3 linked regions of the Rattus norvegicus genome follow. The protein of the gene in region 3 interacts with the protein of the main gene of each other region in a biochemical or structural test. Links are inferred from orthologs where the notes say so. Each region holds a gene or a part of one and is shown on either strand. Other genes may lie near its edges. The genes, in order: Cdc25b, Cdc25a and Btrc.

The links.
Region 1: the proteins of Btrc (region 3) and Cdc25b form a complex in vitro, tested with the Homo sapiens proteins (2 studies listed by BioGRID, with this or other methods). The link is inferred for Rattus norvegicus from reciprocal best matches to the Homo sapiens genes BTRC and CDC25B.
Region 2: of the proteins of Btrc (region 3) and Cdc25a, one has a biochemical effect on the other in vitro, tested with the Homo sapiens proteins (3 studies listed by BioGRID and IntAct, with this or other methods). The link is inferred for Rattus norvegicus from reciprocal best matches to the Homo sapiens genes BTRC and CDC25A.

The regions. Positions count from the first base shown.
Region 1 is NC_086021.1:138,863,036-138,866,683, reverse strand, and holds part of Cdc25b (M-phase inducer phosphatase 2), read right to left. Parts: intron 2,450-3,648; coding exon 2,408-2,449; intron 2,242-2,407; coding exon 2,205-2,241; intron 1,991-2,204; coding exon 1,868-1,990; coding exon of another isoform or gene 1,823-1,867; intron 1,777-1,822; coding exon 1,654-1,776; intron 1,024-1,653; coding exon 892-1,023; intron 504-891; coding exon 423-503; intron 337-422; coding exon 163-336; intron 1-162. UniProt on the Homo sapiens protein: Tyrosine protein phosphatase which functions as a dosage-dependent inducer of mitotic progression. Directly dephosphorylates CDK1 and stimulates its kinase activity.
Region 2 is NC_086026.1:118,741,918-118,745,665, reverse strand, and holds the start of Cdc25a (M-phase inducer phosphatase 1), read right to left. Parts: upstream 2,619-3,748; 5' UTR 2,376-2,618; coding exon 2,206-2,375; intron 1,917-2,205; exon of another isoform or gene 1,829-1,916; intron 1,227-1,828; coding exon 1,150-1,226; intron 152-1,149; coding exon 109-151; intron 1-108. UniProt on the Homo sapiens protein: Tyrosine protein phosphatase which functions as a dosage-dependent inducer of mitotic progression. Directly dephosphorylates CDK1 and stimulates its kinase activity. Also dephosphorylates CDK2 in complex with cyclin-E, in vitro.
Region 3 is NC_086019.1:254,295,316-254,298,963, reverse strand, and holds part of Btrc (F-box/WD repeat-containing protein 1A), read right to left. Parts: intron 2,538-3,648; coding exon 2,306-2,537; intron 1-2,305. UniProt on the Homo sapiens protein: Substrate recognition component of a SCF (SKP1-CUL1-F-box protein) E3 ubiquitin-protein ligase complex which mediates the ubiquitination and subsequent proteasomal degradation of target proteins. Recognizes and binds to phosphorylated target proteins.

The sequences.
Region 1 (3,648 bases), on a different chromosome or scaffold from region 3:
CCTCTCAGTGCTGTTTGGTTGAGACCTCCTTCCCCTGCCACCTAAACAACCAGCTGCACACTACCCACTGCTGCACCTTTGCCCAGGAGAGGACACCCAGAGCATCTGCAGCCCAAACACACCCCAGGTGAGCAGCCCAGCCCCCCAGAGGGCGGAACTAACGGGTTCTTCAAGCTGCTGCTCTTCCAGGGGTGTCCCACTCTTCCTGCGCTTGCTCAGGACAGGCACGTCCCTGTCGTGGGGCCGCTCTAGCCTCTTGAGGATGGGCCGGATCACACTGCACGGCATGGATGGAGAGCGGAAAAGCCGCTGGCACTTGCTGAACATGATGAGATCCTGGCAAAGGTAACATGGCAGGAGTCAGAGCCTGGTCCCTCCACCCCATGTCCCCTTAGCTCCGAGGGGGCACTACTGGGCATCACCTGTTCCTCTTCCTTATCCAGCTTTTTGACCAGTGGAGCACTAATGAGGTTCTCCATGCCTGCGGGGACCATATCATCATCCTGAGGTCAAAGCAGTAAGGACAGAATCACAAACTCAAGCATGGAGTAAATGGTGGAGAGTCTTCTCTTGCTTACTCCCAAAGAAACACTGGTTGTCCCCAGCCCTGCTGACTATGGCAGCAACACTGCCCCACCCCACCCCCAACACACACACAAAAAGAGCTGTACAAACACCAGCTGCTGCTGCCGCTGGGCTTGCCCTGACCCAGAAGTACCTTCATCATGCCTAGCCTCCATTCCTCTGCAGCACCAGCCCACCTGGTCTTCTGATTGGCCAATATCAGTTCCCTCAAATTCTTCTGACATTGGGTGAGGTTGGAGTCTGGCTGATAGTCTGGACTATCCAAGCAGGGAGCAAGTAGGGGCCTTGTGGACCAAGGCTGTTTACCTTTAAATCACTCTCTAGGATGTCCACAAATCCGTCATCTTCTTCACAAGCCCTTTCGACAGGAGTCAAGGAGGAAGACTGTGCCACAGGGCTCGCCTCCTCCACGTCCATCTTCCCGTCAGTGGTAAGACACTGTCCAAATGGCAAGCACAGAACACTCAGGTGGGGACCTGTCACTCCTTCTGAGGAAAAGTCTGCAGTACCCAGGCGGTTTGTGGGGAAGGAGTCTTCTCCTACTGTCTCTTTAAAAAGTGTTTTAGCTTTTATTTATTTATATTTTTATTTTTTATATTATAAATATACAAACATATTTATATATAAATAAAATATTTTATAGCTTTTATATTTACTTATTTGACTCTTTTCAAGACAGGGTTTCTCTGTGTAGCCCTGGCTGTCCTAGAACTCACTCTGTAGACCAAGCTAGCCTTGAACTCAGAAATTCCCTTGTTTCTGCCTCCCAAGTGAAGGGATTAAAGGCATACACAACCACACCCAGGTATTTTTTTAATTTTTAACTTTATTTTATGTGTATGGGTATTCTGCCTGCACATATGTCTGTGTGCCATTTGCAACCAGTGACCACAGAAGCCAGAAGTGGGTATTAGGTCATCCGGGACTGGAATTATAGAGGGTCATGAGGTGGGTTGGGAGCTGGGAATTGAACCTCTGGAAGAGCAACCAGTGCCTTTAACCACTGAGCCATGTCTGCAGCCACCACCTTTCCCCAGAGCTGTTCCTTGGCCCTATTCTCCTATGTACCATCAAGTCAGGGGCTGAGCTGGGCCTCTGGGTAAAGGCCTCTCTGCGGCTGGCCCACTCTGCCAAAGCTCGGGCAGAGCTGGAATGAGGGAGCTTCTGTGGCATCTTGAAGATATATCCATCCTGTGGGCAAGATTGGAGAGGAGCTATCAGGACAAACCCAGTGTACCCTTCTCTCCCTGGAGATCCTCCATCCCGGTCTCTGGAAGCGCACGTTCTCTTTGTCCTCCCCAGGACTACTGGCAGCTCTGTAGCCTGCTTCATCTTTCTCCCAGCTGTCCAGTGCTTGGGAGTTGGTGATGTTCTGTAGCACAGGACTATGTCCCAGCAGCCTCACCTAGGGAACCAGACAGGGCAGTGATTACTAAAGGCTGCATTCCAGGTATCACCCAGGATACCTTCTGCTACCTTGCTCCGTCCGACTCTTCAGCCCCCCCCCCCCCCAGATGAAATCCCATCTCCCCCAACCAGTCCGGGAATGCCTGGCTAGTTCAAACACATCTCTCAGGTACCCCCAATAAGCTCCCTGTCAGGCCTCAGAAGATACTCACTGGCAAAGACCGGAAGCGTTTTATGGTAAATTGCTCACTGCAAAACAAAACAAAACAAAACAAAAACAAAAACAAAAAAAAAACAGTTCAGAGCTGTGAAATCAGAGGCCAGTGACTCAAAGCAGGCAGGATTCCCTTGCACCCATGACATCCACACCACACAAGACAGCAGGAGGTGGGTAAGGAAGGAAGGGAAGACTCACTTTTGAATGACCCGACTGGCTGCCTGAATGGCCTGTTCAAACCTAGGAGAGAGCAGAAATGACCCATTTTCCCAGTAGCCCAACATCTACCCCAAGCCTCAGGCCCAAGCCTGGCTCATGCCCATAGGGCCAGCAACAAGGGCAAGGATGAGGGCCTGTGGTCAGGCTCTAGGAGGGGAGAGTAGAAAATAGTGCACTGTTGGTGGGACCAGGGACCAAGGAGGAAGGGTTTGAGGCAGCCTGGAATTGTAAAGGCTGCTGTGAATGAAAAGCAGGCCCAGAGAAAGGCAGTGATGGAGACAGCTGGGGCAGGTCACAGGGTCATTAAGACATCACCAAGGCAACAGTCTCGCCAGCCTGCACACACAAGCACAGGCCTTCCACCTGTATGCAAATTACATTACTGGGGCCATATGGCCACCATGAAAGGCATTGATCCATCCCAGACAACAGGCTGAAGGTACCCTGTAATATAGGTGACCCTGGGGGTGGATGCCAGCAATGCTGGGTTTCCCTTTCTGCTAGCCACTGGCCTGGCTCCCTGGACAGGGGCTGCTTTGGTGATTTTTCTGGATCAGCCCAGCAGACCCTTTAGTGACAAGTATACAGGGTTACATTCTCTCCTCCCTCCTATGGAATTTTCTAAGACCCAACCTCTGTTCCACCCCCTCCTTCTGTCTTAGAAGAGGCCAGCCAGCAAGGAATTCCAACAGATGCTCCATTTGAGGCTGAAGCGTCAACTTCTACATACAGGCCCTGCCTTCCAATGTTGCTGGAGCACCTGTCATGTGGAGCTTAACACACACACACACACACACACACACACACACACACACACACACACACGTACACCCCAGCTTCTTTCTGAGAAGCTGTAAATAGTCAAAAGTAAGTGCAGACTAACTGGAGAGGCACTTAGTGTCCAAGTGACCCTCAGAGAGGCCTGTGTGCAATCAACCTGGCATCATTTGTAGCTGGGCCTCAGGGGTGAGGGATCTATCTGTGTTGTCGCTAAAAAACAACGTACACTCCTCCCATCCCCACCCAACTCTCGATTTCCTGTTTGTGAATAAACCTTGAGACCAGCACAGTCTGATCAAAGACATCAGGGGGAAATAGTAACCCCCGCCCTAAACCAAAAGCTGTGACTGGCAATGCCCAGCTGTTCCTCCTAATGACTGACAGCTACTCCACAGCTGGATGGGAACAGGTGTGCTCTACAAGGCTCTATTGTGCCACAG
Region 2 (3,748 bases), on a different chromosome or scaffold from region 3:
CTTTTGCCTTGACTTCCTGAGTAGCTGAGACTACAGGCCTGTGCCACTAGGCTGACGTAAGGAAAACTTTCCTACTAAGTAGAAAAATTTAAAGTAGTGAATACATACTTTTCTTTACTGTCCAAGGGCCCAGGAGAATCTAGACAGAAACCTTTGAGAAATAAAAACAAAATTCTTAGAAAATAATATACATTCTGGTGTTAAGCAACATTTTCTTAGTATGTCCATGGACCCTCTTCTGTTTGCAAATACCATCAGAGAAACAAGATTGAAGAGGCCAGCTAGTATCAAGATTGACTTTTCAGATAGTATTGACCCCTAAATCTTTTTGTGGAGCTCCCCCCCCCCAAATATACTTCACTTAGGGGTATGAAAAATACAACCAGCTAAGTTCAGTTCCAAGAGGCCCATCTGGTGTATACTGTGAAATTGTATCTTAAAAAAAAACAGTCTTGGAAAGATGGTTCAGAAGAGCACAACTGCTCTCTCATAGAGGACCTGAGTTCAATTCCCAGCAACCACACAGGCTAATGCCCGTTAACTCGGCTCCAGCAAATGACACCCTCTCCTGGCCTTCAAGGAAAGTACACACCGTGTGCACACAGGAGAAGCATGCAAGCCAACATCCACACATAGAAAAGCACACACTTAAAGACATGGAAGACTCCGCACTCTTTTCTCTCCATAAACTGTCTCAGGAGCTCCCTCCTTCCCTCTGAAGGAAGGGTGTTTGTCACTCCACATCATAATTTCTATGTATACTGTTACCAATTAAATTCCTAGGCAAGACACTTCCAGAATGGCTGACTCCAGATGAATGAATGGTGAAGGCTGAACAAATGCCTGGATTGGTCAGGGGGATGGTGGCCCATGCCTTTAACCACAGCACTCAAGAGGCAAGAGGCCAATGTGATCTACATGGTGAGGCCCTGTCTCAAAATAAATAGATTTAATTAAACTTTTAAAAATAAGGGGCTCAGTGGTTAATAGCACTTGGTGCTCCTATAGAGGGGACAAATTCAGTTCCCAGCAACCATATCAGGCAGCTCACAATGTCCTGTAACTCCAGCCTCAGAGCTCTGATGCCTTTCGATCTAAACACCTACCTACACACATGAGCACATACATACACATAAGTAATGACAATACCTGAATCAGTCGATTCAGAGGAGCCCATTCTCTGTAGACTGCTGCTATTTCTCACGTCCATTGGTTTCTCATAGTCACTGAAACCAAGAGAAATACCTCCACATGAGCTATTTTTAGTATTTGACTAAAAGGACACATACAGGAGATGGGTTATGAAGTAGCCAGGCTGCCACAAACCATCTTGAGAGACCAAGCCAAGGACACCCCACACTCACACTTGGCCACCCAGAATACCCCAGTTGGCATTTAAACAAAGAAAGGAGTGAGTGGCTTGGCCTTGGACCACATTGTAAGACATGCCTGTGGCAAAGGCTGGGTTGTTTCCTTAAATGAGAGCCTCAGTCTGAGGTACCATGCTAGGAATAAGGGCAAAGGTGACTAGGCCAGGAGTCCCAGCTTTTCAGGGTTTGGAAAAGTCGAAAGGCACGTTTAGGAGGCCAGATGCCCAACACCGAAGGAAAAGCAACTTCTCTAAAAGCATTTTTGTTAGTGGTAGTGGTGTAGAGCTACTAAGTCCACCAAGATTTCCAATGTAGAAAAGTTAGTTTAAAAAGTGATAGCTGTAAAAAGGTAGATGGGTAGATATAAGAAACGTGCGGGCCAAGCGGCTGCATAGATTTTGCACAAATGCAAGAAAAGAAAATGCCATGTCCCTTTGTTGAGAAGGAACAAAGCTTACAGGAAACTAAGATCCGACGCGGGTGGTTCAGCAAAGAGTGGTAGTGAAGGCCATTTTCCCCCCGTAAGGGTAGATTCCAAAGACTTTTCTGGAATAGAGACAGAGTAGATTGAAATCTGAAAGGGGTGAACAAGACAGGATGCCCAGCAGGCTTCCCTGACCTCCGGTCTGGCTCGGGCTGAGGATAGCCCTGGACTATCCGAACGGCCTCTCCCGCCCAACATTCCGCCCGGGGGGAGGGTGCACATGGCGGGCCCTGGCCAGGCCATCCCGGATCCGGGCACCAGAACCAGGGGGACAGACTCTGCTTCCTGCTAGGTCATCCCGAGGGCCGACCAGAGGCCAGCGGCCTGGGGCATCGCTCGCCAGTCTCTCACCTGCCCAGCCCTTCCAGCTGGTCCATGGTGACCGTCAGGTTGGTGACAGGGGACAGTCCGCCAGCAGCTGACGCGCCAAACAGCACCTTCCCCGTGGGCTGCGGCGCAGGAGTGGGGCTGCAAGTGAAGAGCAGGCGGCGGCGGTGGGGGGGCTCCGGGCCCAGTTCCATGGCGCCGCCGGGCCTGCCCGGACTCCCGCTCCGTCTTCCTCCGCCTCCGCTGCGCCGGGCCCCGCCCCGCTGGCACCGGCTTCAGCCGCGTGCCACGCCGCCAGCGCCCGCGGGTCAAACACAAACACGACCCCGCGGTTCAGAGACGCGGCCGCCACGGGCAGCGGCGCGGACGGGCGAGCGTCGGGGACTCGGCAGGCGCCAGGCACAAGCACCGGTGCTTCTCTCTCTGTGTCCCGCGAGGCCCGTAGGCGGGCGGGCGCCTGCAACCTCAAGATTAAATCCAAACAAACTCCGCGGAGCCAGAGTCTTGAGGCCACCGACCGGACTAACTCTCCTCACTTTTTCCTTCCTCTTCGTTCGGTACCCGGCACAGAGGAAAGGAACCTCCACTTCCCTCACCACCAAAGTGGCCTTAGCGTTAATTGCTGCACACTCAGGATAGCCGCCGCCCCGCCCCTTCCCTAGTTGGCGCCAAACGGAACTCACCAATCAGGAAGCATACTTCTCCTCGCTCCCGAATGACAGCTGAGCTGGACCAATGAGAAGGAAAGGAGGAAGCATCTCGCGGGCCTCCTCGTGGTCACTCCCTCTCTCCATGGGGGCGAGGCCTGAAGAGTTGGGAGGTGGCAGAAATGAGAAAGGAGCAGAGAAGTCAATGAAACTCCCTGTGAGGGCGCTAGTCCGGACCAAAAGGCCCCCCCTATCTCGCTCCTTTCCAGTTGCATGCTGGGTAGTGTAGTTCCCATAGAGTGTGCTAGGCCGGTCACACACCTAGTCTGAGCTGCTGAGCCTAGTGCTGTGTGCACTTTTAGGAGACATAGAGACTAGGGAAGGCCATCTGGACTTGGCTTTGGTTCTTCCTCTGTGTAGTACAGTACCGTGGATCCCTCTTTTCCTTCACAGTCCTTCAGGCTCTGATTTTGAATTTCTTTCTTTCTTTTTTCTTTTTTGAGACAGGGTTTCTCTGTATAGCCCTAGCTTTGAACTCAGAGATCCATCTGCCCCTGTCTCTTGAGTGCTGAAATTAAAGGCATGTGCCACCATTCCTGTTCCAGGCTCTGATTAAATTAAATTAATTTTTGAAATAGAATTTCTTCTATAGCCCAGGCTGAAACAGGAGTAGTAGTTGAGAGCTTTACATCATCATGATCCACAGATAGCAGGCAGACAGAAGAGAGAGGAGAGGGGAGGGGAGGGGAGGGGAGGGGAGGGGAGGGGAGGGGAGGGGAGGGGAGGGGAGGGGAGGGGAGGGGAGAGGAGAGGAGAGGAGAGGAGAGGAGAGGAGAGGAGAGGAGAGGAGAGGAGAGAAGAGAAGAGAACTGGGCCTGGTTTGGGTTTTTAAGAATTCAAAACCCACTCCCATCAACACA
Region 3 (3,648 bases):
CATTTAATTTTAAAAGGTAATTTATTTTAGGTTCAGAAAAACAAAGCTTTAAGAAATTGCTGCCAAGGAATGAGAGAGGCAGCACCACACAGTTCTAAGGCAGCTCCTGCTAGTGCAGTGTGCTGGAGGAGAGGCTGTCAGCATGGACCAGAGCCTTAGAAGTGAGGTTGCTGGTGGGGTGCCCAGCTGCAATCACAGGAGGGGTGGGGCAGGGGGAACGCTGACATCTGAGGTCGGTTTAAGTCACAAAGTAGGAGCTTATCTCAAAAGGAGAAGAAACTCTCTAAAAGGTTCCTGCTCTAGGGCAGCAGGTGGGGGTTAGCGGCACCATGCTTGTGTGACGCCCTGGGTTCAATTCCCAATACCAAACCAAAATACCCAGAAACATAAAAAAAAAAACAAAAAAACCATGAAACCAAAATAAACACAAACAAAACAAAATCACAGCACACCGAAACTCTTCATAGTCTTTAATACAACAATTCTACTTTGGGTGTTTTTCTTCTGAGACTGTCTATAAATTAATGCATAAGAATGTCTACCATGGTATAATTTATACAGAGAAAAATTAACAAAGGGTAAAGAATGTATTCACACTATACAACCTACTATTGGACTAAATCATTTAAAATAACCCACACTTAGGAAAATAGGCTTTAACATATTAAGAAAAGTTTTTAAAAAACAGGCTCCAGATCTATAGGGAAATAAACACACTGATCGGAACTTTATAAGAAAAACAAAGAACTGTGTGGTGGAGTTCTGGGCAACTGTATTCTATATTCTGTGTGTGTGTGTGTGTGTGTGTGTGTGTGTGTGTGTGTGTGTGTGTATTCACATGTGTGAATGGAGGTCAGTGAGCCCCATGGGTCTGCCTACGTCTGCCTCCCTAGGGCTGGGGCTACAAACGTACCCCTCTTTCAGCTCTCTTCTGGAGACTGGGGATCAAACTCAGGAACTTAGCTTCCACACTGACTATTACTGGCTGAGCCACCATCCATATGCACATGTATATGTATTTATACATAGCTGTATTCTGATGTGTCGACGATGACTAACTATTCCCTAAGGAAAGTGTAGCCCATGTAAACCTCCTATTTCCATGCCTGGCAGGGTTCTGGATCACTGTTAAAGAAGGGAGGGGACACTCTGGAGACGCTTACTTAGTGACGGAGTATTTATCTAGTTTGCACAGAATTCGGGGTTCACTTCTTGAAGATTGTGACCTTTCTTCTAAAATATTAAAAAATGCTTTTTAAAAATTAATTCCTACAATAGCATTTTTTTAATGGATGTGGTAGAAGCTAATGCATGAGGACGTTGGTTTTTGAGCCAGCTTGAGCTAGGTAGAGAGACTGTCTCTTAAACAACTCCAACAACAAAATAAACACTCATTTTGTGTGTGTGTGTGTGTGTGTGTGTGTGTGTGTGTGTGTGTGTGTGTGTGTGGTTTTTTTTTGTTGCTAAAATTCACATCCAAATTCAAGTACATGAAAAGAACTGAAAATAAAGCATATAAGTCATGCTTCAAATCTGGTAACAGTTAAGGAAAACACAAAACTAGACTTGGAACTGCATATAGGTTAAACAAAAAAGGCTGAGCAGAGGGTCAGGAGACAAAGTAAAACGGAATTTAATTATGCAGTTTGACTTTTCTTTTATTTTGATGAAGGTATAATTAATGACTTGGTCTGTAACTATCAAAGCAAACAAGAATTTCTAAATTTATTTCATGTGCATTGGTGTTTTGCTTGCACATATGTTTGTATAATAAGGTTGCTGGATCCTCTGAAGCTGGACTTACCGATAGCTGTGAGTTACTATGTGGGTGCTGGGAATTGAACTCAGGTCCTTGAGAAGAGCAACCAGTGCTCTTAACCACTGAGCCATCTCTCCAGCCTCCAAACAAAAATTTTAAAAAGAGAAATGTAGCTAGGAGTGTTACACTTGTAGTCTCAGCAATTGATTTCTTTTTTTCTTTCTTGCCCCACCCCTACCCCCAAAGGGTTTCTCTGTGTAACAGAGTCATGGCTGTCCTGGATTCACTTTGTAGACCAGGCTGGCCTGGAACTCACAAAGATCTACCTGCCTCTACCTCCCAAATGTTGAGATTAAAGGCGTGTGCCACCATGCTTGATATCCCAGCATGTCAGTGCTAAGACAGGACTGCTGAATTTGAGGCAGGTCTTGGCTGCATTGTGAATCTAGGTTATGGAGAAGCAGGGCTGGGGAGAATAAGGTTGAAGATCCAGCTCCATTACTGCTATGGCGAATGAACTCAGACTTTACAAGGATGTGCACATACCTGGCAGTGCAGTTATGAAATCCCTCTGCAGCATAGGCTTTAGATAGGAGTTGATGTGCCCATGCTGGTAATGACACATTTGAGATATAAGGTGTTCTACAAATTCCACTTGATCAGACTCTGACCACTGCTCAAAGTACTTGACACACAGCTCCTTTTCCTTCTCATAGCTTGCTGAGAGTTTCCGCTGCTTGGGCACAATCATGCTGGAGGTGCCATTGGCAAGTTTTGTCTGTTGGAGGGAGGGGATTGAAAGAATCATTTAACAGCAAGCATTGAAAATGAGGGAAAGAGTCTAAATCTCCTTGTCTGGTATGTAACGTGTATCTTTGCAACTGAATTATTCTTGTTGGATTTATTGCAATTGAGTATTTTGAACCATGATCATGTGGAAAGCCTTACAAATACCAAAGTGGAGGTCAATCAGGTATACCGTGGGAAGACCAAGCATCCATTTCTACAAGTTTAATCTACGGGGATACACAGATTAAAAACTGAGAGCCAGATGCATTTAATCATTATTAGCAAGCAAAAAGTTTAATTTGTTCTTTATCGTATGTAGCAGTTATTGGACAGGTAGATAATTAGTTGTTCACACTAACTTTTTTTTTTAAGTCAAATAAGTTTTATACACAAAGAAAGACCAATGAATATTTACAGACCTCACAAAAGTCTAATAACTCAGGCTGGAGAGATGGATCAGTGGTTAAGAGCACTGGCTGCTCTTTCACAGGTACTGGGTTCAATTCCCAACAACCACATGGTGGCTCACAACCATCTGTAATGGGATATGATGCCCTCTTCTGGTGTGTCTGAAGACAGCAACAGTATACTCATACACATTAAATAAATAAATAAAAATTTAAAAAAAAAGTCTAATAACTTATAAGCTCAAGTTAACCTTTTCTTTCAAAAAAAATTCCACCTTCCTGGTTATCAAAAAATTAAAGGCTATACTTTTTAGTAACTGAGTCATTTAATAGATATTTATTGAGTATCTACAATGTATTCAACACTGTTCTAGGTGCCAGGACTACAACAATGAACAAACCCAGCAGAATGCTGTCAGGAACATATACTCTGCCTGAAGAGGTACATATCACTATAATATAAACAGTGCTGCTGAGAAAAGCAGAAAAAATACTAGAAAAGGACTGGAGAAATGAGCTAGCAGGGAAAGAAAGCCCCAACACTAAGCCTGATGACCAGAGATTAATCCTTGGAGTCCACACGGTGGAAGGAGTGAGCCAACTCCTAGAAGGTGTCCTCTGACCTCCACATATGCTCTGCGGAGAGAGAAAGTGTGTGTGTGTGTGTGTGTGTGTGTGTGTGTGTGTGTGTGT